Pelodiscus sinensis: one gene and its partners. The protein of the gene in region 3 interacts with the protein of the main gene of each other region in a pairwise test. Links are inferred from orthologs where the notes say so. Each region holds a gene or a part of one and is shown on either strand. Other genes may lie near its edges. The genes, in order: ECPAS, protein NKG7-like, AGTRAP and TXN2.

Region 1 (7,402 bases), on a different chromosome or scaffold from region 3:
AATTAGGATTCAAGCAATCACTGTTTAAGTTGTTCATCTACCAAATCATGAATATCCTCATGGAAAAAGTTTAAGCAAGCACTTTTTTCCACCCCCTCAACAAAAAAGGTAGTAACAGCTCATCTATTTGATTGCTTCTACAGACCAAAGTTTATTACAGCTAAATATCTACAAAACAGGGATAAATTGGATTTCTGGTCTAAAACAAAGTCATGGTTACTCTTACAGGAGGCTCATTATCCTACCAATCAGATCCCTAACAAAATACAATGTGATGTCTAATTTTAGTCTCTCACATCCTTCTTCCTGAGAAGTCTGCCCAGTTTTCCCCTCTCCCGGTACTACTTATGTTTCTTGTTAAAGTTCATCTTTGACTGCACAACTTTTCCATTTATTCATAAGAGGTAGCATTAGAAAAACCACCAGCATCCCTTTTCAAAAAAAAAAAAATACCCACTACCCTCAGGTCAGAAGGCCTGAGTAATTTCACAAAGTGTGAGAGCAAAGGAAACAACAGTGATGTATCATTGACTGTTGAGGAAGAATTTCATGGCTGATGGGGGACCATAGAGTTGGAATAATTTTTCTAGACTACAGAAAATGGTCATGACAATGATTCATCCCAACTCTCATTTGAGTAAGCATGTTAACATTTGTGTCAGACTTGAAAACAAAAAAACAGAATTATTGACAGTAGGGACTCCACTAGTATTTTAGTGTTCCATTGTCTATACCCCTCACCCAACAGTTTATAGAAACTAGAGTTCTCTCCAAAGAGAGGACACAGAAAAGTTACACAGCAAACACCAACGTGTGGTTTAAATATGACAGCTTGCAGCTTGAAAATCCTTAATAGCTTTCTTTCTTCTGCTGAGTTTCTGGTGGTAATTCAATTCCACAACCAAGTCAAGTCCAAAACACCATTTTCCCCAGCCCACACATCAGGCTCATAGTTCCCCCAGCTGGGTTATACATCATCTGAAAACTAGTTATACCTCAGGAGATGCAGCAACAAGAAAACATTCCCTTAACATTTTATACTTCTTCAGAGACAGGTTTATACTTACTGCACCAGAGTCACCAGTAGATGTGAAGGTTAAAAAACCACCCAAAACTGGGTGTCGATTTCTGACCAGCAAATGAGTATTTTTAAACTTACACAACTACATTACTCAAATTCTGACTTCTATCCTCATCAGCACTGAGAACTGCATGGGCCCACAGTGTGCCATGCAATTCTTAATGCGGGATTAGGAACATCATTTGCACAAAAGAAGACTGAAATGGATAAATGTGTTTTCCAATATATTTTATTCTTACATTACGTTTCTACTTTAAATCCAAACAAAACATATCAAGCTCTGGAAGGGGAGAGTTTTCATATTTTTTCCTTATAATGAAAAAATATACAGTGACTGAAGGCTTATCTGTATCTACAGTGTGCTTTCAGCAGAAAATCTGAAGAAGAATATAAGTGACCAGAACTTTATAATACTTTACACATCTGTAGCACTTCTGATCCATGCATCTCTAAGGACTCTACAAACATTAAGCTTCACAATACTCTAGTCCAGCAGTTTTCAAACTTTTGTACTCCTGACCACTTTCACACAACAAACCTCTGAATGTGACTTCCCAGGTCCTATAACTGACAGGTTCTACCTCTCCCCTCCCCTTTTTCTTCTGTTATAAATTCTGGGTTTATGTTATCCCTCTCGAGCTCATCTGATGAAGCGGGGGGTTTTTCCCCCACAAATACTCCTGATATATTTGTTAGTCTCTAAAGCTGCTACAGAACTACTTGCCGTTTTTAAAGTGATTAACATGGCTACCCCCTGAGACCTTACAAACTAAAAAACACTTTTTAAAAAAATGTTTAGCCCTATCATAAATGCTGGTGGCAAAGCAGAGTTCGGGGTGATGCCTGACAGCTCACAATCCCCCAGGTAATACCCCCATGGCTCCTGAGCGCGCCCCCCACACACACACACACACACTTTGAGAACCACTGCTATTGCCTGATAAGGGAGAATAACTAATGACAGATCAGAGATGGAGAACGGAGTCCAGGTGGCCAGGACGGGGCTTGCCCAAGGTCACCCAGCGAGGAGCTGGCGCCCCCCTGCAATCACTGAGCAGGGCAGGCAGAGCTGATCTGCTCTAACCACTGGGCCAGGCTCAGCTGACAGCCTGGGACCGAGGACTACATTTCCCAGCCGGCCTCAGTAGCAGTTCCTGCGGCGGGCCCCACGCCCAGAAACTCTCAGCTCCCCAAGCTGGGCCCAGGCCCCTGGCAGGGACGGGGACACCGGGCGGAGGGGCACTCCAGAGCCGGGGCGCGCAGCCTCAGGCCGGCGCCACCCTCCCCTCGCCCTGCCCCGCGGCTGGGCCGCTCCCCGGCCCCAGCGGGCAGGAAAGCAGAGTCACTGCGGCGCTGCCCGGCCTGTGCCGGGGCTGTTCAGCCCCCGGAGCCGCAGGCTGGGGCTCGTGCCCCCCCCCCCCACACACACAGCGGGGCGGGCGCTCGCCCCCTCAGAGCGCGCTTTCCCTTTCGCACCATGACTGCGCACCGCCGCGGCCTAACGCGGCTCCCCCCGCCGGGGCCCCGGGGCGCAGCGCCCGGACACTGGGGCGAGGAAACCCGCATCCCCCCCTCACAGCCCTTCCCCGCTCCCGCCGCAGCGCCGGCCCGGCCCCAGCGCGGACACGCGGCGGGAGGGGAAGGGGGGGTCCTGTCGGCCAAGAGCCCCCCCGCGCGCAGCCCCACTTACTCAGCTCGTCCTGGGCGGCGGAGGCGGCCGCAGCCATGTTGCCAGCCGCCGAGGGGCGGGGGCGCGCGGCTCCGGAGGCTCCCTTCGCTCAGGGTGGCTCCCAGCCCCGGTCCCTCCCCTCCTCGCCCGGCTCTCTCCCTCCGCCGCCGCCTGGCCCGGGGCGCCCGCCCGCCTGCTCGCCGCGCCCGCCGGCAGCTCCCGCGGAGGGGGAGGGTGCGCGGCTCTCACGCCCTCCCCCAGGCCAACCTCCCTCGCTTCGCTTTAGTTTTATATTTAGAAAGAGCTGAGCCATCGTCCCAGCCCCCCCGCCCGGGCCGCTTTCCCCTCCCCTCCGCCACGCCACCGCCTGAGACACCGGCCGCCCCGAGAGCTCCGCTCGCCGACGGGCGCCAGGCACTAGCCCCGCGGCCGCTCCATGTGCGCAGCGGCCCTGGGCGCCTTCCCTCGCCCTGCCCCCGCACGCGGCCTGCCCCCAGGCCGGGCCACTGACCTGAGTCCAGGCTGACCTCCATGGCTCCCGAGGCACTTCTCTCCACTTGCAAGGGGGTCGGGGTGGTGGAGAGGCTCGGGTCAGCAGCACAGCGACGCCGCTGCCTTTCTCCCCCTATCTGTGGTAGCTGCTTGTAGCAGTCTGGAGGATTTTCTAGCTGGGAAAGGTGTTGCCCGGGACTTGTAGCCAATGCCGACCAGGCACAGATTTAGAGGAAGTGTGAAACACCCTCAGAGGGGTGCTACTTCCTCCCATCTGTCCTCCCAACAGCCACTAGGGTCCTGGCCATACCCTCAAGCTGCTCCAGGAGGGACTTTGTTCCCTTACCTTAGTTTTTCTTTGCAAGCTACTTTAGACTTTTACATGGGAAGTTATGCCCTAATAGCTAATCCTGATTAACTATCCAATCTTTAGGTGCTCATAGATTACCAGTTCTACCTATTTGGTTTTCCCTTTTATATTTTTATACCCTCTGCTCCTTGTTTCCCACACCCTTCCATTTTTTTCCTTCTCCCCTATTTCGTTTGGATCTGCACATCCTAAGCTCACAACTCCAGTCATCTGAAGAAGTGGGCTGTGCCCACAAAACCTCATGATACCATCTCTTGTTAATCTATAAAGTGCTACCAGACCATTTGCTGTTTTTTAAATGTATCTATGTATGAATATTCCTATTCCAGAATAAGAGTGGTTTATTCTGAATTAGCAGCACTTTTATGCTGGAATTAGTGTGTCCACACATGGACTTAATGGGGAATAGTTAAGCAGCTTTAAATTCACATCCTGCCATATTCGATTACTTTTCATGTGTGGACACTCATACTCCAGAATAGGTGTGCCTTATTCTAAATTAGAGCTCAAACGAGTGGATTAAACTATATGGATTTAAAGCATTTCCATTAGACTCCTCCACTCTCTGGATATGTCTACACTGGCATGATTTTCCGGAAATGCTTTTAATGGAAAAGTTTTCCATTAAAAGCATTTTTGGAAAAGTGCGTCGAGATTGGCAGGATGCTTTTCCGGAAAAGCACTTTTTCCAGAAAAGCGTCCGTGGCCAATCTAGACGCGCTTTTCCGCAACAAAGCCCCGATCGTCATTTTCGCAATCGGGGCTTTTTTGCGGAAAACACCACTGTGCTGTCTACGCTGGCCCTTTTCCGGAACAGTTTTCCGGAAAAAGACTTTTGCCCAAAGGGGAGCAGCATAGTTTTTCCGGAAAAGCACTGATGATTTTACATTAGATTATCGGTGCTTTTCCGGAAATTCAAGCAGCCAGTGTAGACAGCTGGCAAGTTTTTCTGGAAAAGCGGCTGATTTTCTGGAATAACTTGCCGGTGTAGAGACAGCCTCAGTGTTTCTAATTTACAAATACTCTTTTAAAGACATTAACAATCCTCATCTAGTGCTTCAACTCTCAATGGGTACCAACATCAAGGTATAATACAAAAATCCACCAAGGAACAACTCTGTCTCCTATCCTCCTGGTACCTATATTTAAAAAAAAAAAAACACCTCTGCATTTGGGAAAGAATAGAAGTTTCATATTTAAAGCCTTTATTTTAGCCATGAGGTTATTCTCACTGAGATATTATCGAACCCTGTTAATAGAAAAGACAAATGTTAATTCTAAGCAACTTTAAACATAAGGTTGAATTGTATAACGGAAAACCCAAAACCTAACAAATATATTAGCACTTCCTTATATACAGGGCTTGACAAACAGCGGCAAAAGTCGCTCGCCAGCCCTGCACTGCGCATGTGCAAGAGCCGCGTTGTGGATGTGCGCACCGCTGGTAAACGGGGCACACAGCTGAAATCTATTCGCCACAGGCGAATAGATTCTATAGTTTGTTGAGCCCTGCTTATATAGAATGTACACACATTCCCTTCCTCCATATCTTTCCATAGTATAATTTACAGAAGACCCTACAGTGCCCAGCTTTTTTATAATAGCTGTAGCTTGTCTGATCCTTGAAAGTTGAGCCGTTTTCCTTAGAGACTGAAGAACAAATGGACTGGAAATATTCTGGCATTGATCCATTACCTATTTGTTCTTTTTTTTAAAATCAGGGTTTCCAGTGTTAGAAGTTGCAGTTTGCTCTATATGGGTATGTCTACACTGCAAAGCTATTTCAGGATACTAGAGGTATCCCAAAATAGCTATCCCATGTCTTCTGAATATGTCCGCTATTTTGAAAAATAGCAGACAAGCTATTTCGCCATCCCTATAAACCTCATTCTACCAGGAGTAAGGAATGGCTCAAATAGCGCTTTATTTCAAAATAGACTCAAAATAAGCTATGAAATTTGCATAGTGCAAATTGCATATCTTATTTCGAGTTTAGGGTACTATGTATATGCACCCTATGAATCCAGATGGAAGGGGAGAGTGATCTCATACCAGGAAGCGTTGCGTGTGTTAGTGATGGTGCATGCACAGTTAGCCTGCTGTCACCAGAAGATGACAAAGACACAGGACACCAAACTGCTTCAAGCCCTAGTCAGAATGGCTACAGCACAGGAGTTCAAACTGAGGGGACTGTGAATTTCACCTAACAACAGTGTTTCCTCCTGCACAAACTGACTAAAGCTGATAAAGAATTGAAGAAGCTAGTTCTGGAAAAATTGGATAATAAGACTGTCAGTGAACTATTTTATTTTTGTAGCAAAAGGTGCAACAAACTGCTTAAGTGAAATGTTATCATCCTGTGGTGAGAGTTGGGTCTATCAAAAATGGGCTGGCAAGAGCTAGTTGTGTTCATGTCAAGAAAAGGATTTAAGAAAATGGGAACAAACAAGCAAGAGAAGGAAAAGTTAATATACAGGCAGTCCCCGAGTTACGCGGATCCGACTTACGTCGGATCCGCAGTTACAAACGGGGCCGTTCCTCTCCCTGGTCTCCAGCAGACCAGGGAGAGGAAGCAAAGCGGCGGAACACGTGGGCAGCGGACAGGGCTGTCCGCTGCCCACGCGCTCCGAGGCTTGGCTCTGCTTTGCCCCCCCCCCCCCGGTCTGCAGACCAGGGGGACGGGGGGTGGGGTGGGGCAAAGCAGAGCCAAGCCGCGGAGCGCGCAGTCAGCTGACAGCTGTCAGCTGGCCGCGTCCTCCGCGGCTTGGCTCTGCTTTGCCCCTCCCCATCCCCCTGGTCTGCAGACCAGGGGGACGGGGGGGCAAAGCAGAGCCAAGCCGCGGAGCACGCGGGCAGCGGACAGCCCAGACGCGTCTGGGCTGTCCGCTGCCCGCGTGTTCCGCCGCTTTGCTCCCCGTCCCCCTGGTCTGCAGACCAGGGGGACGGGGAACAAAGCAGAGCAAAGCCACGGAGCCCGAGGGCAGCAGGACAGCCACGGCGCGTCTGGGCTGTCCCGCTGCCCCTGTGCTCCATGGCTTTGCTCCGGACACCTGTGGTACAGCAGCTGGGGCGCTGCCAGTTGGTCCCATAGCGCCGCTCTGGGCGCTACTGGACCAACCGGGCAGCACCCCAGCTGATCTGCCCCAGGCGTCCTGATTCAGCCACTGCTGGTCAGATTCAGCAGCGGCTGAATCAGGACACCTGGGGCAGAGCAGTTTGGGTGCTGCTGGGTTGATCCAGTAGCGCTGAGGAGCGGCGGTGCTACTGGACCAACCCAGCAGCACCCCAGCTGCTCTGTCCCAGGCGTCCCCAAGTCAGCCGCTGCTGAAACTGACCAGTGGCTGACTACAGGAAGCCCCTGCCCTGGGCTTCCTGGAATCAGCCGCTGATCAGTTTCAGCAGCAGCTGACTTGGGGATGCCTGGGGTTCTTAAGTTGAATCTGTATGTAAGTCAGAACTGGCGTCCAGATTCAGCCGCTGTTGAAACTGATCAGTTTCAGCAGCGGCTGAATCTGGACGCCAGTTCCGACTTACATACAGATTCAACTTAAGAACAAACCTACAGTCCCTATCTTGTACGTAACCCGGGGACTGCCTGTAGAGAGAAATAAATGTAAATGAAAAAAAAAAAAAAAAAAAAAACATGGCAAGACTGCCATTTCAGTAGCATCACAGTTCAAATTAACAAAGAGGCTATTTTTATGATAACTGTGTGACTAGTTCCCAGTTTACTGGAAATGGTCTGATTTTGAGAAAATGCCTCAGCCTATTGTATCAAAACCAAGGGTTA
Region 2 (7,412 bases), on a different chromosome or scaffold from region 3:
TCATATCGCCTCCCAGATCTGGCACCCAACCCCTGCCTTAGCTCCTGCCTTAGCTCACAACCCAAATCCCTGCACCCCCTCCTGTACCCCAATTCCCTGCCCTGGGACACAATCCAACCCCCTGCACCCCAGTCCAGTGCCCCAGGTCACAACTGCCTCCTTCACCCAAACTCCCTCCCTTACCCCAAGCACCCTTCTGCTCCCAACCTCCATCCCAGACCCCGCACCTCCTCCTCCTCTTGGAAGAGTGCAGCCCTTGACCACTTTTCAAATTCTTGGAGAGCCCCCATCATAAATTCATGCCCATCCCTGTACTTGTCTAATACCCGGTGACAGAGACTCAGCCAGGGTGGAGAGCCACAACTTCAGTCCACCCGTGCTGTCCCATGGCACCCTCTCCCCAGCCCCCCACAATCCCACTCACCCTGTTCCCTCCACAATGCCTCTCGCCTGCCCCCACAGCACCCGGCCTCCAAATGGGCTCCCTCCCCCCAACCTGCCCCAGCAGCCTTCCCCTGTGGAGTCCCAGCCCGGCTCGCCATGGCGACCCCCCAGCTCACCGCTCAGGACCAGCAGCGGCAGGGCGGCCCAGCCCAGGTAGAAGGACCATTCGAAGGTCAGTTGGATCTGCCCGTCCTTGTTCTTGTCCCACGACTCGGCACTGAACACGGCCATGGAAACCAGGGTGCAGCCAGCTGGGGCAGGGAGGGGTAGACACTCTGAGCCAGTAGGTTCCAGGCTCCCTGTCCTAAAGGCTGGTGCCCCCATGAGGGGACAGGCTCTGAGCCCCATTGCATGTCCCTGGGCACCAGTCCCGCTCTGACACCCCCCAGAGGGCAGGACCTGTGCCCCATTCTCTGCCCCCCTGGGCCTCCCAGCTCCACTCCAGCACCCGCACCAGAGGGGCCAAGCCCCAAGCCCCATTCTCGGGCCCTGGGCCTGTCAGCCCTGCTCCAACAACCCCCAGAGGGGCCAGCCCCAGTCTTCAATCCCTGCCCCACTTCAGCACCCCCCAGAGGCCAGGCCCGGGGCTGGGCCCTACCGGCAGCGAAGGCTGAGAGGGAAGCGACGAGGCTGAGGCTCACGGGGCTCTGGAAGCAGGATATGATGGAGGACAGCAGGGACAGGATGCAGACGGCCGCGGCCAGAGCTGCCAGGATCAGGAAGGCCCGGGTGGCTTGTATATACCCTGTGGGGAGGGTATGGACAAGAAGGGTTAACGAGGAACCACCATCCCCAGCCAACCCTCAGTGGGTGTAGGGGGAGCCTGGAGCAGAGGGAGCGGGGACTCGGTAGGGCTCTCTGTGCATGTCCCAAGATTGGGCGATCGGGGCCTATCGGGATGGATGCCCACTGCTTCACCCCAGTGAGGGCCATGTCTCAGCGCCAGGTAAGGGGTCCCCACAAGAACACCTCCCACCCCCACCCCAGAGGTGGCTGCATCTCACGGCAGGGTGAGGGGTCCCCAAATGAACACCTTCCACCCCCACCCCAGATCCCAGGGCAGGGCGAGGAGTCCCCATGTAAACACCTCCCGTGCCCCACCCCAGAGGTGGCTGCATCCCAGCCCCGGCTGTTTCCTCACCATTGACCTGTGCAGGGGACACACACACCCCGCCCACTGTACACTGCTGCCAGAGCCCGCTGTGGAACGTGTCCTTGGCGCCATAGGCCACCAGCCAGTAGTCGGTGCTGAGAGCCATGCAGAGCAGCAGCAGGCTGAGCGCAGCCAGCAGGCAGCTCCCCACGCTACAGGCCTGCATCTCCCTCCGAGACGGGCTGGCTCAGCTACAGACCTGCAAGAGGAACCCCGAGCTGGGGACAGTCCCCGGGCACAACCTCTCCCCCACCCAGCCCCCCTGCCCGGCATCCCCCCCCCCCCCCCCCACTGCGGCTGGGCCTGCTGTGGTGCCAGGGCTGAGTCAAAGTGCTGCCATGACTCATGTTCTCCCCTGCCCTTCAGAAGGCCATGAGTTTAGTGGTTAGAGCTGGGGGGAGGGGGCCAGGACTCCGGGGTCTCTCGCTAGCTCCAGTGTGGGTGGGGAGGAGTGTTTGCTAATGGTTAGTGCTGCTACTGCTCTCCCCAGCAGCGTTTCACACCCCAACCACTTCCCGAGCTATTCTCATGTCTTCCCTGCAACCTGAGCTGCACGGCGGCTGCTCTGAGGAACTTGGGCCCCTGTCTGGGGGATCAGCCCCACAGACCCTTCTCGCTCAGCCCCATGGTCCCCCAGCCTGGTGTCCTGCTGCCACAGATCAGCTCCATGGGCCCATCTACCCTGGCATCTGGCCCCTTATCCATCTACCAGTTTCATTCTTTTCCACTGCCTCTGGACAGCTACCCTGGACCCTCTCCCAGCCCCCTCTGGGCTCCTGGGAACCTAAGGCACTCCCAGTGCTCAGGGCTCCCCAGCCCAGTGAGGGGGTCTAATGGTTAGAGCAGGGGGAGGAGCCTGGGGGACAGGACTCCTGGATTCTCTCCTTGGCTGTGGAGCAGGGAGAGGAATCTAATGGTTAGGGCAGGGCACAGTGGAAGTGGGGAGGCTGGGAGCCAGGACTGCTGGGTTTGCTCTCTGGCTTAGAGAAGGGAGTGGGATCTAGTGGTTAGATGGGAAGGGGTAGGGAGCCAGGACTGCTGGGTTCTCTCCCTGGCTCAGGGGAGTGGGGTCTAGTGGTTGGAGCAAAGGGGAGCTATATTGGCAAGGGGGGCGTCTCCTTACCTTGCTGCTGGGTGCCCCCTGCACACTCTGTCCGGCTGCACCCAGGCCCCCGGCTGTCTCTCCCAGCGGATGGGGTCACCGAGAAAGGAGGTGGGGCTGTTACTTGACAGGAAGGAGCAAGGGGGTGGGCTTTGTGGTAAGAGTGAGCATCAGAGGAAACTGTGTGTCTGTCCCTGCCCTGCATACCCCGATCTCTGTGTACCCCGATCCCTGCGTACCCCAGCCAGCCATACCCCGATCTCTGTGTACCCCGATCCCTGCATACCCCAGCCAGCCATACCCCATCCCTGTGTAGCCTGATCCCTGCGTACCCCAGCCAGCCATACCCCATCCCTGTGTACCCCGATCCCTGCATACCCCAGCCAGCCATACCCCATCCCTGTGTACCCCGATCCCTGCATACCCCAGCCAGCCATACCCCATCCCTGTGTAGCCTGATCCCTGCGTACCCCAGCCAGCTGTACCAGGATCCCAGCCGATCCCAGTGTCCCTGGCCCATCCATCCCCTACACGTTTTATATCCATCTAGCCCTGTTCACCCCGTGTCTCGCCTTCCCCAGACACCCCCTTTAGGTGCCTCTGGCCACCCCAACTCCTCAGTCCGTTCAACCCCCCCCCCCCCGTCACCTGCCCCCTTCCCGCCTCGCGCTCTCTCGCTGGCTCGCCGAGCTGTTTCTCTCTCTGCACCCCCCTCCCCCCGCTTCCTGTGCCTGTGGTTCGGGGGGGGGGGGGGCGGTCACCACCGGCACAGCTCGGCGAGTCACCGCTGAGGAGGGGACAAGCCCTCCCCTCCCCCGCTTTGACTGCAGGGGGCAATGGCTGCTCCACACCCCCTGGGTTCTCCCCCCGGCTCTGGGGGAGGAGGGAGAGAATGGATAAAGGGCGCGCAGACTCAAACACACACACGGCAAGGGGCGCAGACACACACACACACAGGACAGGGGGCACAGATACACACACACACACACACACGGCAAGGGGCGCAGACACACACACACACACAAGGCAGGGGGCTCAGATACACACACACACAGGGCAGGGCGCGCACACACACACACAAGGCAGGGGGCTCAGATACACACGCACACAGGGCAGGGCGCGCAGACACACACACACAAGGCAGGGGGCGCACACACACACACACACACGGCAAGGGGCGCACACACACACACACACACACACAGGGCAGGGCGCGCAGACACACACACAAGGCAAGGGGCTCAGATACACACACACAGGGCAGGGCGCGCAGACACACACACACACAAGGCAGGGGGCGCGCGCACACACACACACACACACACACCCACACACACACCGGCTTTCCTGCATACACCGGTCACTCCCCAGCCAGCTGCTCCTGCTCCCCCGGGCTCAGGCGACTGTTGCGGCCGGGGCAGTCGCGGGTCTCGGGGCGTCAGGAGGCTCAAAACAGCGGAGCAGAGACCAGCACCGCGCGCCCCGCCCCAGAGGTGGCTGCATCCCAGCGCCGGGCGAGGGGTCCCCGTGTAACCAGCCCCAGAGGGGGTGGCCCGCCGGCCCGGCTGGGGAACAGGCGCTGCCTGCAGCGGAGCGGGCCGCGGACGAGCCGGGAGGGAGCAGCGGCTCAGGGCTGATGCAGCCGCCACGAAGCCAGCGAGAGCCGCGCAGTCAGGGCGATGCGAGCTGCCCGCAGGAGCCCACGTAGGTGGAAGATCCACCGGCCCTGCAGGGGAGAGAGCAGCGCTGGCAGGGCGGGTGGGGACGCTGGGGCACTGGCAGGGCGGGGGGTTTGCTCTCTGGCTTAGAGAAGGGACCCCGGACCCCAGCTGGGCCCACGGGACTCAAGAGTGAGCCAGACAGGTCACGCCCCCTGGTGACCGGGTTGGGGCTCTGCAGGCCATTGTGCCCGGCCACGCCCCCTGGTGGCAGGGTGGGGGGTTCTGCAGGCCACGGTGCCCGGCCTCGCCCCCTGGTGGCCAGATCGGAGCTCTGCTGGTCACTGTGCCCGGCTACGCCCCCTGGTGGCCTTGTGGGAGCCCCAGCTCTGGGCGGGATTCAGGGGAGCAAAGGAGTTTGGGGAGCAGCACCTGCGAAGCAAGCGGGGTTGGCGTGCACAGGGATTTGGGTACGGCTGTCTGGGGGGTGCGCAGGGATAGGGATATACAGGGATCGATCAGGGTATGGCTCTATGGGGTATGCAGGGACTGATCAGGGTACAGCTGGGTGGGGTATGCAGGGATGGGTAGGGCTGTGTGCCTCGATCCCACAGGGTACGCAGGGACAGACGCACATTTTCCTCTGATACTCTCTCTGCCCACAAAGCACCCCCCCAGCTCCTTCCTGCTAAGTAACAGCCCCACTCCCTTTCTTGTTGACCCCATCTGCTGGGAGGGACAGCTGGGGGCCTGGGTGCAGCTGGAGAGAGTGTGCAGGGGGCACCCAGCAGCAAGGTACGAAGATATCCCACTCTGCTCCCCAAAACTGGCCATCGCCCCCCTCACCACTACAGCTCCTTCTGCTCTAACCACTAAACCCTACTTCCTTCCCCAAGCCAGTGAGAGAACCCAGGAGTCCTGACCTCTGCCCCCTCCCCCACTCTAGCCATTAGACTCCACACATTAGATGGGATTGGTCCTACCTAGGGCAGGGGGCTGGACTTGATGACCTTCTGAGGTCTCCTCCAGCTCTATGGTTCTATGATTCTCCCTCCTCCCCAGCCAGGGAGAGAACCTCTCAGTCCTGGCTCCCAGCGCCCCCTCAGATCTACCCACTGGGCCCTCTCCCCTTATAGAATCATAGACCCTGTCATGGTCTTTGTTTAGACCAAGGTGAAAAGTGTCGAATTTAAGTATGAATGACAGTTCAAAGGATTCTCTTTCAAGTCTGGTGTTAAAAGGTCTTTGAAGCAGGATGCAGGTAATCAAGTCGTTGAGACAATGCCCTTTCTGGTTGAAATGGCAAGAAACTATTTTTTCTTTGTGATCCTAATATCTGTTTTGTGGGCATTGATCCTTTGGCGAAGTGTCTGAGACGTCTGTCCAATGTACATAGCAGACGGACACTTTCGGCACATGATAGCATAAATTATATTTCTGGATGAGCAGGAATATTTGTTCTTAATCTTATAACTCAACTGGTTAGGTCCAATAATGGTATCGGCAGAGTGAATATGTGGACAAAGCTGGCAACGAATCACAGATAGTACATTAATTTAAATGAAAAATTAATTATAAAAATAAATAGAAATAAAATCTTTGTTTAGCCCCCAAAGGAAGTATTCCTCTGTCTGTGGTTTCAAATCCTTTAAAGAACCAAACACCAGTTACCGAAACCTAGTTTCCATTTACCAGAAGCTGGAAATGGGCACCAGGGATGGATCGTGCTGATTGCCTCTTCTGTTTAATCCTTCTGTTGGCAGACAGGCCTCTGGGCTGGAAGGACCATTCTGATGTTCTTATCTAGAGCTGAAATGTATCTGCCCCCTGCTATAACCCACGAGACCCGACTCCCCTCCCAGAGCTGAGAGAGCGCCCAGGAGTCCTGACAGGGTCTAGGATTTTGCACAAAAGGTTTTTTTTTGCGCAAAATGGAAGCGTCTGTGCTGCTTCTTTTTGTGCAAAAACCATTGGCAAAACATATGCTAATGACATCAGACTCATGCTAATGAGTCCGTCATTAGCATACTCTCTGCCATAAAAACCTTGGGGTATGTCTACACTACAAAGTTAATTCGAAATAACAGCCATTATTTCAAATTAATTTTAATAGCGTCTACACATACAAACTGCTATTTTGAAATAAATTGGAAATAGTGGAGCTCATATTTCGAATTTGCTAAACTTCATCCTGCAAGGAATAACACCAAATTCGAAATAGCTAATTCGAAAGAAGTGCTGTGTAGACACTTACTTCGAATTGGGGGCCTCCAGCCCTTCCCAGTTTCCCCTGGTGGCCACTCTGGGCACAACCAGGAAAACTCTCCTCTCCCCCAGCCCGGGGCCCTTAAAGGGGTAGAGTCTGGCCACTGAGCACATGCAAGACCCAGGCCTGCCAGCAGCCACAGACCCTCAGCCAGTGGCAGCCAGTGGCAGCCAGCGGTACCCTGCCCAGTCCCCAGGGGACAGCCGGGGCGCCCAAGGCAACAGGCAGGGCAGCGGAGCCGAGGCCTGCAGGGGGAGCGCAGGGGGAGCGCGGCTCTTGCTGCCCCATGCGGCCTGGGAAGAAGTGTCAGCGCCCCAGTGCGGGGCCTCTAGTTCCCCCTCCCGCTGCAGAAGCAGCCCCGCCCCCCCACTCCACGCTCGCGCTCTCCCCCCTCAAACGCAGCGCCCCGCCGGCTCCCCACCCCCCCGCAACCCACCCGGCCCGCAGCCCGCTCGCCCCCTCTCCTGCCTCGCCCCGCCGCGCTGCGCACACGCGGCCGCTGAGACGCCAAGCCCCAGGGCAGCGGCGCTTTGGGCATCAGCGAGTGACCCCCCCCCCCCCCCCCCGCAGAGAGCCCGAGGTTAGCAGGCCCGGACTATGGCTGGGGGGGGGGGGAGGCTCCCGAAAAGCGCCCGCGCAGCGTTGCCGCTCTGTGGACACGGGGCGCGCGGGGCTTTCCGCTGGGGCCAGCCAGGGCGCACGGCGGGACGCGCTCCCACTGCCCCGGAGAGGCGCGGGGGCGGGACAGCGTGTCCAGGGGCGCACGCAAAGCCTGTGGCCACTGGGAAC
Region 3 (7,037 bases):
TTTCCTTCTCTCAACTGTGAGAGAGACAAGAAAGAATAATGAAGGTACCGTTAAAGGGAGAATACAAGCTCTCCATCTCTTTCCCTGTGTATGTGTGAAGCAAAGGTGATTGTGCGACTGCGTATCTTTAAAAGTCTCAGAGAGGTGGCCGTGTTAGTTTGTAACTTTAAAAAACGAGTCATCCTGTAGCACCTTAGAGGCTAACAAAAAGATATGAGCTCTGCTCATCTGAAGAAGTGGGTTTTGCTCACAAAAGCTCGTGTTACCATGTCTATATATTTGCTAGTCTCTAAGATGCTAAAGGACTACTCATTGCATATCTTTATACACCTTTAACAGCTGCAGCTCCCTTGGTTTTCCCATCTATCTTCTGCTGTCTGGGATTCCCTTTTTCCCCCTAACAGTGACTCTCTGTCTGCGTGCTTGTCTCTGACCTTGCGGGGTTCCTGCTGAGTGACTCAGCATGATAAGGAAACAAAGGAAAAGGACAAGAGAAGATACGTTCTCTGAACTAGTCCAGACTGAAGACAGAGAGACTCAGTCCTGGGGGGAATGTAAGCAGAGAGAGAGGCAAAAAGACCAACAGGATCAAGAGCGGTACGACCTCATTCAGAAGGACTTAAACCACAAAGCCAGTTGCTAGAGCACATTAAAGAGCAAACGCTAAAGCCTGGCACTTCAGCAGCCATTTGGCAACATGGAGAATGACTCCTTCTGGCTAGGGCCGTAGGCTTCATCCTTGAGGCTCCCAACCGCCCAGCAGCAGTGTCCCTGGCCTTCCATGTGATAGGACAATAATAACAACTGCTCTGAATGCACCTCCTGCCTGCTCTGATGCAGCTGTGTGCAGCCAGCTCGTACACTAGTTCTTTACAAATGGGCTGTGTCTACACTGGGCCACTTATTCCGGAAAAGCAGCCGCTTTTCCGGAATAAGCTGCAAGCTGTCTACACTGGCCCCCTGAATTTCCGGAAAAGCACTGACGATCTACTGTAAGAAATCAGCTGCTTTTCTGGAAAAACTATGCTGCTCCCGCTCGGGCAAAAGTCCTTTTTCCGGAAAACTGTTCCAGAAAAGGGCCAGTGTAGACAGCCCAGTAGTCTTTTCCGCAAAAAAGCCCCGATCGCGAAAATGACGGTCGGGGCTTTTTTCCGGAAAAGCGCATCTACATTGGCCACGGACGCTTTTCCGGAAAAAGGGCTTTTCCGGAAAAGCATCCTGCCAATGTAGATGCTCTTTTTCCGGAAATACTTATAACGGAAAACTGTTCTGTTTTAAGCATTTCCGGAAAAGGGTGCCAGTGTAGACGTAGCCATGAAGTTTAAGAAAAGTTCTAGTTTGTGAAAAGCCAGCTGTATTTTCCCTGTCTTATGAGACAGAAGGGAAAAACACCCCTCTCCCTAAAAACAATTGATTGTCCTTATATATATATACATGCCTCTGTAAACTCCACTCCAATTCATCTGATGAAGTGGGTTTTACCCACGAAAGCTTATACCCTAATACATCTCTTAGTCTCAAAGGCTAGTTCTATACTAGACCTAGAAGGTCAACTTAAGGTACATAACTCCAGGTATGTAAATAATGTAGCTGGAGCTGACACCTCAATCCAAATTTGGCACTGTGTCTCCACAGTGGGAGGCTGACAGGAACAAATGCTCCCATCAGCATCCCTTATTCCTCACAAATCAAGGAGTACCAGCACCAATCCGGGGGTGCCCTCAATGTTCGATTTGGTGGGTCCTTACTAGACCTGCTAAATCAAATGCCAGAAGATCCATTTCCAGCGTGGCAAGTGGAGATGTGGCCTCAGGTGCCACAAGACTCCTCTTTGCCTTTACACTATGTACACTAACACAAAGTAACACACTGCCTGGGAAATGCACACTGTCAAAGGGCGCTTTGGAGCAGGAATATTTCCCTCATGGTGATTTAGCCTTGACATGAGACATCTGCCCTTCAAAGGACACTCCACAGCCATCCTGCACTGGCTCAGGGGATGGTTAAATCTTTCCTTGCTTTTCTCCAGGTTGCCAATGATTGGAGTAAAGTGTCAGGGAAGCAAAGAATAGGTTGTGTCGCCAAGAATCACAGCTGGCATTGCAATGTCATTAATGTCAACAGGACAGTCGGGGAAAAGAGTCCCTGCTTTCAGGTTTTCAAAAAGTCTTGAATTCCTAAAGATGGGAGCATCCAGGACGTTCCCTGACCAGCCAACATTAAATGTCAGTAAATCACCTACCGTGATGCTTGCATGATGAAGTACCCCTTTCTGTTTATGCACTCAGCAGCAAAACAAGGGGTAGGGATGTTAAATTTAGATTAACTGGCTAATCGAATTGTTGATGCAAGTTGCATCGACTATTTGTTTAGTCGATAAGGGTGTCTCCACCTTTGAAGTGTAGCAACAGCCCTAGGGGCCAGCAGGGGACTCAAGCAGCTGACCCCGGGCTCCACACGGCATTGCTGCTTTGAAATGCCACGTGCAGCCTTGGGAAGTCCATCAAATCAAATCCATCTAGTATTTCTTGGAGGCTGCCTGGCCTGACAAGCCCCCACAGCAGGACACTCTTAATGGCTTTGAACACCTGGGTGGCCACTGCCTCCACCACAGATTTTCCAGCACCAAACTGGCTGTTCACCAACTGAGAGCAATCCAGCATTGCAACCTGCAGATAGTGATTGGCGGCACCTGTTTCTCTACTGTCCATGCGGTTCTTAGTCTCTGTAGGGTTGGGGTGAGCTCCGCACACAGTTCCAGGCATGTGGCCTTCTGCAGCTGAATGTCCCACAGCCACTTTTGGTGCTCTCAGATTTGTATCACACTCCAGCCTCATCACTGTTTGGACCCAAACCATCTCTCTAGGTGCCATCACTCAGTGAAAGCCTGCAACAGGTGCTCAGCTTCATCCTCTGTCTCCCTGCTGAATGTCCGGCTGCTATGGTAGACCTTGAAATGGACAAAACAGCTGCATTGATCAGCGCAGGATTCAGGTTTCTGGTAGCGAGAAGGGAAAACAGTGTGAAGGAGCAGATTATGAAATGGGAGAGATTTCTGGAAATTTCTTCCCAGACTTCCACAGTTCCCTGGGAGGAGTGATGCTACCCCACAGTACTTGGCCACAGCCCCATAGCACACTGCTGAAACTAATTTGGGGCGTGGCTGGAACACTTTGGGACTTTTTAAAGCAGTGACAGTGCAAGAATCAATGTCCTCAACTCCCAGGGCAGGCTAGTCACTGATGAGAAGTGGTATTTCTGGAGGTCAAAAGGATTTATCACCCTTTCCTGTGGGGCTGTAAGAACTGAGGCAGCAATGGAGGGATGTGCAGTGACATTAAAAACACCCTGACCCTTTAGCAGCTTCCAAAGAGGCCTGGCCTCAGGGAAGACATTTTTGCATGCTTGCTTTTAAACAATAACATTTGCACCTGCAAAAATCTTTCACGGTCACGGCTGATTTGCAGCCAAGGGGGTGAGAACTGGGAGCACTAGCAGCCAGAGGAAGAAGGGGCAGTGCAGAAAACGCAGTCGGGTTGCACACCCTACCTGCCTGGATACCAACCGCCCCTGTGGAATACTGACCAGCATCTGAGGTGGTGTGGCAGGTCGCCAGCTAGGGCATGATGGCCTGCTCCCTCACCAGGGGCTACACACCCTCTTACTGAGTTCACAGGGGAGTGGGAACAATTTGTACAGGGGCAGTGCTGAGAGTCATGGAATCAAACTGTACACCCTACAATGGGGACTATCCTGGGAACTACTTGAAGGGGGGCAGTAGCACCCCATCTCCAGCGCCCTGCTGCCGCCCCCCCTCAATGCCGCTTCGGGGGGGGGGCTATCCAGCTTCTTGGGTCAATTCCCCGCTCCCCTCTCTGGGGGTGTCTGTGTCTTTCTCCCTCTTCAGCGCTGGGCTGGCCGCTCTCGGGCTGGGTGGGCGTCTCTGTGCAGCCCTGGCTTGGGGGAGCCCCCGAGGAGGGACGCGGGGGGCAGAGCCAGCCCGGCGCCGGCGGCCGCGTCCCGCCCCCGCCCGGCCCCACGTGAGGCGCTTCCCGCACAGTCACGGGGGCAGGGCGGGGCGGTGGAAAGTTGGGAAGCGGCCGGGACAGGCGGGGGCGCCCCGCGAGCATGGAGGTGCCCGCTGTGAACCTCAAGGTACCGGGGCGGCGGGCCGGGGCTGAGCGACCCGCAGAGGGCGGCCAGGCAGCGGGCGGAGGGGCGCAGGGCTAATGGGGGGGGGGCCGAGCCCTGGCAGGTGGGTCCCGCGGGGCTGCAGCTTCAAGACCGCCCTGCCCGCTGGGCAGCCCCTCGGGCACCGGCCCGCTGCAAGGCAGAGGTCTCGAACCCCCGGCTGGTGGGAGAAGAATGGGGGGGGGGGCAGAACCGCCCCCCCGGCTGGTGGGAGAAGAATGGGGGGGGCCCAGAACCGCCCCCCGGCTGGTGGGAGAAGAATGGGGGGGCCCTAGAGCCGCCCCCCCGGCTGGTGGGAGAAGAATGGGGGGGCAGAACCGCCCCCCGGCTGGTGGGAGAAGAATGGGGGGGGCAGAACCGCCCCCCGGCTGGTGGGAGAAGAATGGGGGGGCCCTAGAGCCGCCCCCCGGCTGGTGGGAGAAGAATGGGGGGGCCCTAGAGCCGCCCCCCGGCTGGTGGGAGAAGAATGGGGGGGCACAGAACCGCCCTTAATTGTTCAAGAGCCGCATGTGGCTGACCAGCTGCAGTTTGGCCACCCCGGACTCGCGGCACCCGGTCTCCCCCGCGCCTCCCCGCAGCCCCCCGCGCCCGCACACCGGGGCGCAGAACACGCCCCCGGGCCCTTTGGGGCAGCGCTGGGTCTTTCACGTCCACCCAGCCGCCGCCCCCTGGCCGGGCTCTGCTTCCTCGGGAGGGGTCCTGCGGCGCTTCAAAGCGGGAGAGCCTGCCGGAGCCGTGAGCGGCACGTGGGAGTGAAGCCGGGGAACAGGCATTCTCCAAACCGAGGTCCACACTGTCCCCCTCGGAATGGACTTTTCTCTTAGTCGACAGAACCGTCGTTGAAAAGGCGCTTTAAGAATATTTCATTGGTGTGTCGCTGGAGGTGAGAAGTATTTGTACAGTGGGGGTGCTGTAAACAATCGCTCACCCCTCCTGCCCTGGGGTAGAGGGCCCATAAACCCTAAGGATGGCCCTGCCTGTTCTGTTCTAGGGCAGTGGGTGAGCCCGGGTCGCCCTTTAACTGGGATCCAAACTCTGTATTTTTTTAACATAAGAGGCAGCTGGAGCTGCAGACTCAAACCTGAAGGTCTTTGTCTTCCAGTAGGGTTGTATCCTCAGCTAGCATGGCTGAGACCCCCAGCTGTAAGCCCATGGGCCCAGTGTAGTGTGGATACTCAAGCCCTAGCTTGGAAATACCAAGTCCACACAGCTGGGGTTTACAGTGCAGTTTACAATAGACTTACTGTCAGGATAACCCCAACAGATGAAAACACATCAGATTGGAGGGTGGTTTTTATTTTGACAATGGCTCGGTAAAGGTTCCATGACTCTTGCTGTTGGTCAGGCCTTTGCCCAGGGGTCAAAATTCCCCCTCTGCTACAGGCTGTGCATGATCCTCACTGTGCACTCCAGAGAGCTGTATTCACATGGTGCAGTGTGACTGATACAGCTCTCCCTGATGCGCTGGAGGTACAAGATGTTTATTGGCTGTTGGTTTTATCAAATATAGTGACTTATTCTCATCTCAGGATGTTACCCATACAAAATTCTCTGTTGTTCACACATTCTAGGACAGGGATGGGTAATCTTAGGCCTGGGGGCCGGATGTGGCCCCCAGCTTGCTTGAATCTGGCCCCTGAGGCTTAGGGTGCCCTCCTGCAGGGAGCCTGTGCTGGCACTCCAGCCCCCTGCTACCCCCCATGGGGATGGAGCATCCAAAATCTACTAGGCTGGACCCCCAGAGGCTGTGGTATGCAAGGGGCATGTGGGAGAATATCTTTCTCTCAGTTGGGTGCCACATCAATGAGGGTATTTTGTGTGTGGCTCCCGACTGATTTTTCTGTGGGTCAGTGGCACCCACCCCAAAAAGTTTCCCCTCCCCTGCTCTAGGAGCACCCACCCTCACCCATTTATAGGGCTCAGGTATAACCTTTTCAATAGGCACCCACCCTCTTCCTTCTGTGGGCTCAGGTGTAACCTTACACTCTGTGGGTTTGTGGGGTCTTTTATCAGGGAATGAGCTTTACACGGTAATATCCTACTTAATCTCTCTGTATTAATCACTATCAAAGCCAGCATGCACATGCTAGCATACAGTGCTCACCGCTCCCAGTAAGTCAGATGAACTTGTCTTGATAGCCAGTCAGGTTCAGGTCCAGCTCGGGGACTCCAATTTCTGCACAGTGTTATTGGCACAGGGTCTGGCAGCTCTGATTTTGGAGCTGTGTCCTGGATTTGGCTTCCAAAAAATTCTCTTTTGGGCCCCAGTTTATATAGTGAAACTTGAGTCCTGCTTAGCTAGACTGTCATCAATTATTTTACTAAAATGTTACTAATCAGTCCTAACATACTGTAACAGAATTACCTAACTAACCATACCCCACCACTTCAATTGATATATACCTAGCAAAATTAATTACACAGCAGACTGAAACAATTAAAAACCACAGAGAGTTAGCTGTGTTGGTCTGTAACTTTAAAAACAATGAATAGTCCTGTAGCACCTTAGAGACTAAAAAATGATATATAGTACCATGAGCTTTCATGGGCAAAGTCTACTTCTTCAGATGAGATCTCATCTGAAGAAGTGTGTTTGCCCATGAAAGCTCATGATAATATATATATGTATAAAACCAGAGACAGAGATCATACAAACAAACAATAGAAAAGTGAGGATCATAATCATACAATGAGGATTCCATAATCCCACCTAAAGAGTTTCTTGATACATGAGATGCTATCAAACTAAGTTTTCTTTACCCATCTTGAGATCTGTTTCTTTATCTGGCGTTATTGGTTGTCATTAGGGCTATGTCTAGACTGCACGCCTTTTTCGACAGAGGCTT
Region 4 (7,472 bases), on a different chromosome or scaffold from region 3:
ACTATAAAAGGGTTAAAAAAAAAAACCTGCTAGATAAGCTCACAGAGGATGGATCCAACAACAGCTATTAGCGAGAATGGGTTGGAATTGTGTCCCCAGCCTCTGTTTGCCAGAAGCTGGAAATGAATGACAGGGAATGGCTCACTTGATGATGACATGTTCTGTTCATTCTCTGTGGAGCACCTGGCACTGGCCACTATCAGGAGACGTGATACTGAGCTAGATGGACCTTTAGTCTGAGTGTGGCCAGGTCCCTTGAGCAGCAGGGTGGCTTAGTGGTTAGGTCCCAGAATTAGCTGACTGGGTACAACCCCCTACCGCTGGTGACCCAGGCATAGGAACTCCGGCCTATTACCTGAGTATAGTTCTTAAGTTCGAGGCATGGTCCAAAGGCTACATCTAGACTGACAAGATTTAGCGCAAATACTCTAAACGCAAGAGTTTTTGCGTTTAGAGTATTTGAGTAAGGGAGCGTCTATACTGGCATGTGCCTTTGCGCAAAAGATTTGCTTTTGCGCAAAAGCATCCGTGCCAGTAGCCGCTCTCTTGCGCAAGAAAGCTCCGATGGCCATTTTAACCATAGGGCTTTCTTGCGCAAGAAATTGGTGTTGCCTGTCTACACTGGCCTCTTGCGCAAGAACACTTACCCCTGAGCAGAAGCATCAGAATATTTGTGCAAGAAGCACTGATTTCATACAGTAGAATGTCAGTGTTGCACAAATACTCACGGCCAGTGTAGACAGGCAGCAAGATTTTGTGCAAAAGCAGCCGCTTTTACGCTAAATTTAGCCAATGTAGACACAGCCTAAGAGTCCAAATTTTTTCCTCCTCTGTGGGGGTTCCTCATAGGTTCTCCCCCTTTCCTTTGAGGGGTGAGATTGGAGGCTTACATGCCCTGAGGGCTGGCCAAGTAGACAGGCTCCACCTGGGGGGTCCTGCACACAGCAGAACCAGCTCCTGTATCCTCACTGGTCAGCCCCTAACTGAGCCATGGTCTTTCCTTTTATACTCCCTCCAGGCCTGGCATTGGCTACAGGTGAAGCGGGGCAGAGCTAGCTGGGCCAAAAGGCTTTGTTTAACTCCTGTACTGACAAGCTCTCCTCTCTTCACTTCCTCACACTGACCCAGTGTGGCTGTTCTTATGGGACCATTGTGCTCTAGAGGATAAATGAGAAGCTGGGATTCATTGAGGCTTCTCCTTTTAGCTGAACACTTCACAATGCCTGAAGATAGTGTTGCGTTTATCTTATGAACCAATGTCTGGGGAAGCAACTGGGAATCACAGGTGTATGAAGAGAAAGAGAGAAGAGATGCACAGATGCTTTTGATGTGACAGTCACATTTTGAGGACCAGTTGGAACCTCTTCATTCGATGCTGGGTCCAGCACATTCTTGTGTATACTTGAAGATTTGTATGTTCAATGAATACAGAAGCGGTACCTTCAGAAGCAACATTTTTCCTGCACTTTGGTGGAGACAGCTAGGTGCATGCCAATATATTTAGTTTTAGTGTAGGGCAATATGATGTCACTGCCTGACAGAGGTCCCAAAAGCCACCCCACTCTCTCTAATGATGAGCAGCTAACCTGGGAAGCTTAGGCCCAATGTGAGCTGTCACTAGATTGGCCCTGCTATCCTTTCTGTTACTTTAATTGGTGGAGTTGGTATTCCATGCCTGCTGCTCCTATTTAGAATAGATAGTCCTTGTATTTTTTTTAGTGCAAATAGGAGAGATATTTTGCTATGTCCTTCCAAAAATCTTCTAGGCTGTGTCTACATTGGCATGATTTTACGCAAAAGCATTTGCTTTTGTGCAAAAACTTGCTGCCTGTCTACACTGGCAGGGAGTTCTTGCGCAAGAACACTCTGTGTGAAATCAGTGCTTCTTGCACAAGACCGATGATGCTCCCGCTCAGGAATAAGCTTTCTTGTGCAACTGTTCTTGCGCAAGAGGCCAGTGTAGACAGGCAACATGAATTTCTTGCGCAAGAAAGCCCAATGGTTAAAATGGCCATCAGAGCTTTCTTGCGCAAGAGAGCGTCTACACTGGCACGGATGCTCTTGTGCAAAAGCACATCTCTTGCGCAAAGGCACATGCCAGTGTAGATGCTCTCTTGTGCAAATACTCTAACACAAAAACTCCTGTGTTAAAGAGTATTTGTGCAAAATCTTGCCAATGTAGATGTAGCCCTAGTATTTTTCGCTCTAGTTAAAATGTGTATTCTAGTTTTCTTCCCAGATGTTCCTATTTATAGCTTTCAAATGTTGCATGGTAAATTGTGCATATCAATCAAATGGAGACAGACCTCTGTCACTTCCTGGAAACCACTAAGCAGGGCAAAATGGTAGGAGTTTGAGCTGATTCTGCCTGCATCCCCATGATTTCTGTGAAGTAGAGGAGGGGCAGACTGGAATCAGCTTCCCACTCTCCCTATATCCATAAGAACATCTTGCATTTGTGCTTCCTGCTAAGATGAATGGAGGAAAAAAGGTGGACCTTATTAATTCCTTCCCATCAGCTGTTTCCTAAGTATTTCCCAGGGACCTCTTAAACTTTCTTGGTCTTTCTATAAAGACCCAGTTCCCATAGCTTTTTGCTGCTGGAGTTTGGGGAGCAGTTGAGATAAGCGAGGGACTGAAAGGTATCACTTTTAACTGGAAGCACTGGAGCCACGTCTACACTTCAGGCTTCTTGCGCAAGAACTGTTTTGCGGAAGAGTACTTGTGCAAAAGTTCTTGCGAAAGAGCGCATCCACACTGCCATGTGCTTTTGTGCAAGAGATGTGCTTTTGAGCAAGAGCGTCCATGGCAGTGTGGATGCTCTCTTGCGCAAGAAAGCTCTGATGGCCATTTTAGCCATAGGGCTTTCTTGCACAAAAACTCTTGGCTTCCTGTCTACACTGGCCTCTTCCTGATAGGGAGCATCAGAGATCTCATGCAAGAAGCCCTGTTTCCTGATGCTATACTGTAGATTCACTTGTGCAAGAACGCACATGCAGTGTAGACAGCTGGCAAATTTTTGCACAAGAACAGCTATTCTTGCGCAAAAAGCCTGCAGTGTAGACATAGACTGGATGAAAATGTTGCTGCTATCAAAAGATCCACTTAGTAGCTACTATCAAGTTGATTGGGAGAAATAGGGTTGGCCTTTCACCTGTTGTAAATTGGTATTGCTCCACTCTCTTTAATGCAGTTACATCCATTTACACCAGCTGTGAATCTGGCCCAGAAAGAGGCCATTGAAAAGTCTATATTCACCAAGCAGCCCCCACAACTCACCATGGGATTCTTACATGTGGTCTGTCCAAAGAGAATGGAATTAGGAAGTCCACTGAACACTGACAGACCTGTCTGACCTAAAGGTTCAGTTTTGTTGTCGGGGAGACACTAAAACCAAGAGCAGATCCACTCGACATGTGTACACACGCATCTATCTGTGCACACACGGTCAGAGCATCCTCTTCTCTTTCACTGTAGTGTCCCACACAAAATCCTAAGGCTGTCAATTCCTAATATGTGAGTTGCCTAAGAATGCAGTTCTGTTCTGAAAAGAGACTAAGAATGGCACTTTCTTTACTAGTTTGGTCCCTGTTATGTGTCAGAATCAGAAACACCTGCATCTGAAAGTGTTACTGTTTATTTCTGCATGTAGAGCCAGCAGCTGAGACAATGAGCAAGATTAGATATGAGCCAGAATCAATAAACAACACAAATTCCAACTTAATTTCTCCCATTGTCCCTCTGGGATCCCAAGCAGGGATGGTAGTTAGGAAAATCGCTCTGTTCATAAAGTAGAGAGGTTGCATCTGGATGTCACACAGGAGCAATATTTGCAAACTACCATGGTGCCATTTTTGTAATGACTTTTCAGAGCATAATTTCATTTTAATACTGATGCCATTTCTCTGATGTGAATTACTGCCTGTTGTAATTGGTTGTACGTATTTTATATGGCTATTCTTCCAGTCCAGTTACAAAAATGTTTGCACTGCTTCCACGCTTGGTTTTTTAACCCTTTGGTCGGGGGACACCAGCTGTACTGATTGTATAGGGAATCACGGTGCTGTTATGTGGGGTTTTGCTTTACGTAGCAGGTATTTGTGTTACTTCCTGTCCCATCCTTATTTTTGACACTTGCTATCTGGTGTCCCAAGCAAGGTGTCACGTGGACAAGCCCTCACCAGGCCCGGGATGCGCTTTGTGAGCAGGGCAGGGGCACAAGCAGCTGGCTCTGGCCCAGTCCCGACCCTGCAGCGGGTGAGCACAGCGGAGCCAATCCGCAGCCCCGGCTCACGTGGGGGGAGGGTGCTCTGCTGCTGGTGGATGACGACAGCCGGGCTATTGAACAGCCCTTCTCCGCAGCCAATCAGCACCCAGGAGCCCTCCCCTGTTTGCAACCAACCAAGAGCTAGTTACCCGCGGATAGTGTCGCCAGCCAATGAGCTCCTAGGATTAGACAACAGCGAGCCGGAAGTCGCTGTTCAGGGGCCGATGAGCGCGCGGCGCCCCTCGGCCAACCCGGGGCGCAGGACTCCTGGCGCGCCTCCTCCCTCGCCACAGCCAATCCGCTTCCGGCAGCCTTTGCGTCACTTCCGCCGCCGGGAAGGTGAGTCGTGGGGCATCTGAGGAGTGCGCCGCCGGGACCCAGCGTGCGGGGTGCGCGTGCGGGCCAGGGCCCGGGAAGTGGGCGGGGCGCTGCAGTGGCGCGGGGCGCTCAGGGCACAAGGGACCACAGCGCAGCCGGGCCAGGCAGCAGTGCGAGAGGGCGCAGGGAGAGGGGCAGGGTTAGCATTGTGCAAGGGAGCAGCGCAGCCCGGGGCACCGGTGAGGCCTTGGAGTACTGTGGGTTAGGCTGGCCTAGCAAGGGGCATAACGTCACTGGGAATGGGGCTGGCATGGAATGGGGGGCACAGTGGGCTGAGAGGGAGGGGCACTGAGGGGCTAGCATGGCAGAGATGCGGTGGCAGGGTACGGGGAAGGAGCATGGGCAGGGCTGGCATGGCAGAAAGAGGGGCATTGGCTTCACTGTAGGAAGCAGGAGGAAAGTAGCAGCAGCAGCAGCAGCGTTCCTGGGGCTGGAGAGTTGTTGAGAAGCATAATGTCCGGAAATGCTCCTTCTCTGCTCTCCTTTTCTCCATGGCATGGTTGATCCAAAATGCCTTTTTTCCTTTCATTATACAGATGGCTCAGAGGCTCATGCTGAGGAAAGTTCTATCCGTCACCCTCCAAAAGCTCTCTGTGCCGCCTGTGTTGATCCTTTCCAGGGTGTCAGGAGCACCATGCTACCCTAGATCACTTGTCCCTCTTACCCAGGTCACTATGCCTGCTTCCCTTAGAACGTTTTCTACTACACCTGTCTGCAGGGTCACATTTAACATCCAGGATGGGGCTGACTTCCAGGACAGAGTTATGAACAGCCAGAAGCCGGTGGTGGTAGACTTTCATGCTCAGTGAGTATTAGGTGTGGAGTCTTGGGTCCCTCCTTCTTTTCTCTTTATATCCTGGAAGTAACATGCTGTCACTATGGCTTTGGGCAAGTTGGTTACTTTCCTTTTGCCTAAGTTTCTACCTCAGTAAGGAAGGATAAAAATGTCTTTCTATCTTTCTAAAGTGTTTTTTGATCTATGTGGGGAAAAAATCTGACCTCATATAGCACTATGCTTTAGGCAAGTTTGCTGGTATACCTACACTGGCAAACCTTCCTAGTGGAGACACAACTGCTACAACACACACAAGCACTTTTGCTTGTGTTTATACAGGTTCCCAGAACAGAATAAGCTATACTGGCAAAAGGTTTCTGTGTGCTCCTCATTCCTCCCTCTCTCACCCTCCTCCCCATACCTGTGCACCTTTGTTTCCATTTCCTTCCATGGCACTGTGTGGCCCCATTTTCTCCATATCCCTCATTATCTCCTCCACCCATTCTGAAGCATTTCCTGACCTCCCCTTCATCAGGATTTCTGTATGCCCCCCATTACTTTCACCCCTCCTGCATATCCCATTTCCCCCCTCCGCCGTATGGCGGGAATTTTAAGTGCACTCTTATTATCCTTTTTCTCCTATTCTAGAAGCTCTGTATAGCTCCATTTTCCCTCCTTACATAACCAGGATTCCTCAGTCTCTGTTCCCAAACACCCAGGGTTCTGTTTCTCTCATTCTCTCACAAACACTAGGGATGTTGAAATGCATTTAATTAAGTTCCCGTGTAACTGCTGAAAAAATCAGCAGTTACACAGTTACAGGCAGAGGCAGGCAGCTTCCCAGGAGCCAGTGCATGCAAGAAGCCAGCTTTTAATCTGGCTCCATGAGTACTAGTTCCCATCTGCCCTCTCCTCTCCTCTCCCCTCTTCTCTCTATTGCTGCCTCTGATACAGCCTCTTTTAAATCAGTTACATGGCTACCGGGAGCATATATGTAACTACACTTTCACATTCCTCATGCACACACACTATTTGTGCACATTGTTATTTTCTCTGCTGTTTCACTTTCTGGGAAAGAAGTCAATCAGGATGTCAACATGTTAAACGCTTGGGAGAATGAGCAGAGATGAGATGTGGCATGTTATTCTGGAAGGCCTTAATGCCTGCCATCAGCCAGGTTTTTTGAGCTGTAGCACTTTCAGAAATGCTGGTTACTGTGTTAAAGAGCTGGCAGGGTGTCATGTATTCCCCATTTTGTTCCTTCCGATTTTCCAGATTTGTTCCTTCCCTCAAATCTGTGGGGTTCTGGCCATTGATTCCTAGAAGGTTTGCTGGAATTGATCGGGTGCAGCTCTCAGAAATTTGCTTCACACCTCAGTGTTGTAGCAGCATAGCTACATTGCTCAAGGGAGTAGAAAAACCACATTCCTAACTAGCATAGCTAAGCTGACAAATCTTCCCTTTCCCCCCCCACCAGTACAGCTATATTGAGAGAAGAGTTGATATAACTGCTGTTGATATAGCTATTGTCATTCAGGGAGGAGGTGTTCCTGTACCAACAGAAAATCTGTCATTATAGGCTGCCTCTGCACTAGAGGACAATGCTGGCCAAAGCGTCATAGTGCGGATGTAGCCACAAACACAGAGAAAAACTTTTGAGTTTAGCATGAGGTTATAGCAAATTTGGCAGTAAGTATGCTACCAATATCTGTATACAAAACATAATGCTTGTGTATGTCACCAAGATGTTAACATAGATCGTGTAACTCATACCGATTCATAGGCTCTGTGCTATGCCCAGGTTTTAAATGATCCCTTGCAGGCAGAGATGACCTGTACTTGCTGATTGTGGAAGACGGGGCACACTAGAGGTTTGGGCAACCCCACCAGACAAGACCCCACTTATCCTCAGCCTCCCTTCCTGGAAAGTAATGCCCCTTCCTGCAGCTCCTAGCTGTTGCTCCTTCCTCTCCCCACAGGGCTACGTCAATTGGCTCTTCAAGCAGCTGCCAGGCAGGGAGGGGGCCCAGCCACCCCCTGTGACTAAGCAGG

The links.
Region 1: the proteins of AGTRAP (region 3) and ECPAS interact in binary tests that used the Homo sapiens proteins (3 or more experiments, as listed by UniProt). The two-hybrid records come from large-scale screens. The link is inferred for Pelodiscus sinensis from reciprocal best matches to the Homo sapiens genes AGTRAP and ECPAS.
Region 2: the proteins of AGTRAP (region 3) and protein NKG7-like interact in binary tests that used the Homo sapiens proteins (3 or more experiments, as listed by UniProt). The two-hybrid records come from large-scale screens. The link is inferred for Pelodiscus sinensis from reciprocal best matches to the Homo sapiens genes AGTRAP and NKG7.
Region 4: the proteins of AGTRAP (region 3) and TXN2 interact in binary tests that used the Homo sapiens proteins (3 or more experiments, as listed by UniProt). The two-hybrid records come from large-scale screens. The link is inferred for Pelodiscus sinensis from reciprocal best matches to the Homo sapiens genes AGTRAP and TXN2.

The regions. Positions count from the first base shown.
Region 1 is NC_134716.1:10,165,428-10,172,829, reverse strand, and holds the start of ECPAS (proteasome adapter and scaffold protein ECM29), read right to left. Parts: upstream 3,021-7,402; 5' UTR 2,809-3,020; coding exon 2,772-2,808; intron 1-2,771. UniProt on the Homo sapiens protein: Adapter/scaffolding protein that binds to the 26S proteasome, motor proteins and other compartment specific proteins. May couple the proteasome to different compartments including endosome, endoplasmic reticulum and centrosome.
Region 2 is NC_134734.1:3,104,285-3,111,696, forward strand, and holds the start of protein NKG7-like, read right to left. Parts: upstream 3,017-7,412; 5' UTR 2,721-3,016; intron 1,797-2,720; 5' UTR 1,764-1,796; coding exon 1,586-1,763; intron 1,190-1,585; coding exon 1,043-1,189; intron 696-1,042; coding exon 561-695; intron 1-560. Other genes in the region: protein NKG7-like, read left to right, coding at 7,221-7,412.
Region 3 is NC_134733.1:8,001,655-8,008,691, forward strand, and holds the start of AGTRAP (type-1 angiotensin II receptor-associated protein), read left to right. Parts: upstream 1-4,033; 5' UTR 4,034-4,128; coding exon 4,129-4,155; intron 4,156-7,037. UniProt on the Homo sapiens protein: Appears to be a negative regulator of type-1 angiotensin II receptor-mediated signaling by regulating receptor internalization as well as mechanism of receptor desensitization such as phosphorylation.
Region 4 is NC_134711.1:93,362,842-93,370,313, forward strand, and holds the start of TXN2 (thioredoxin, mitochondrial), read left to right. Parts: upstream 1-4,466; 5' UTR 4,467-4,606; exon of another isoform or gene 4,607-4,656; intron 4,657-5,181; coding exon 5,182-5,450; exon of another isoform or gene 5,451-5,453; intron 5,454-7,472. Other genes in the region: FOXRED2 (FAD-dependent oxidoreductase domain-containing protein 2), read left to right, coding at 5,364-5,413.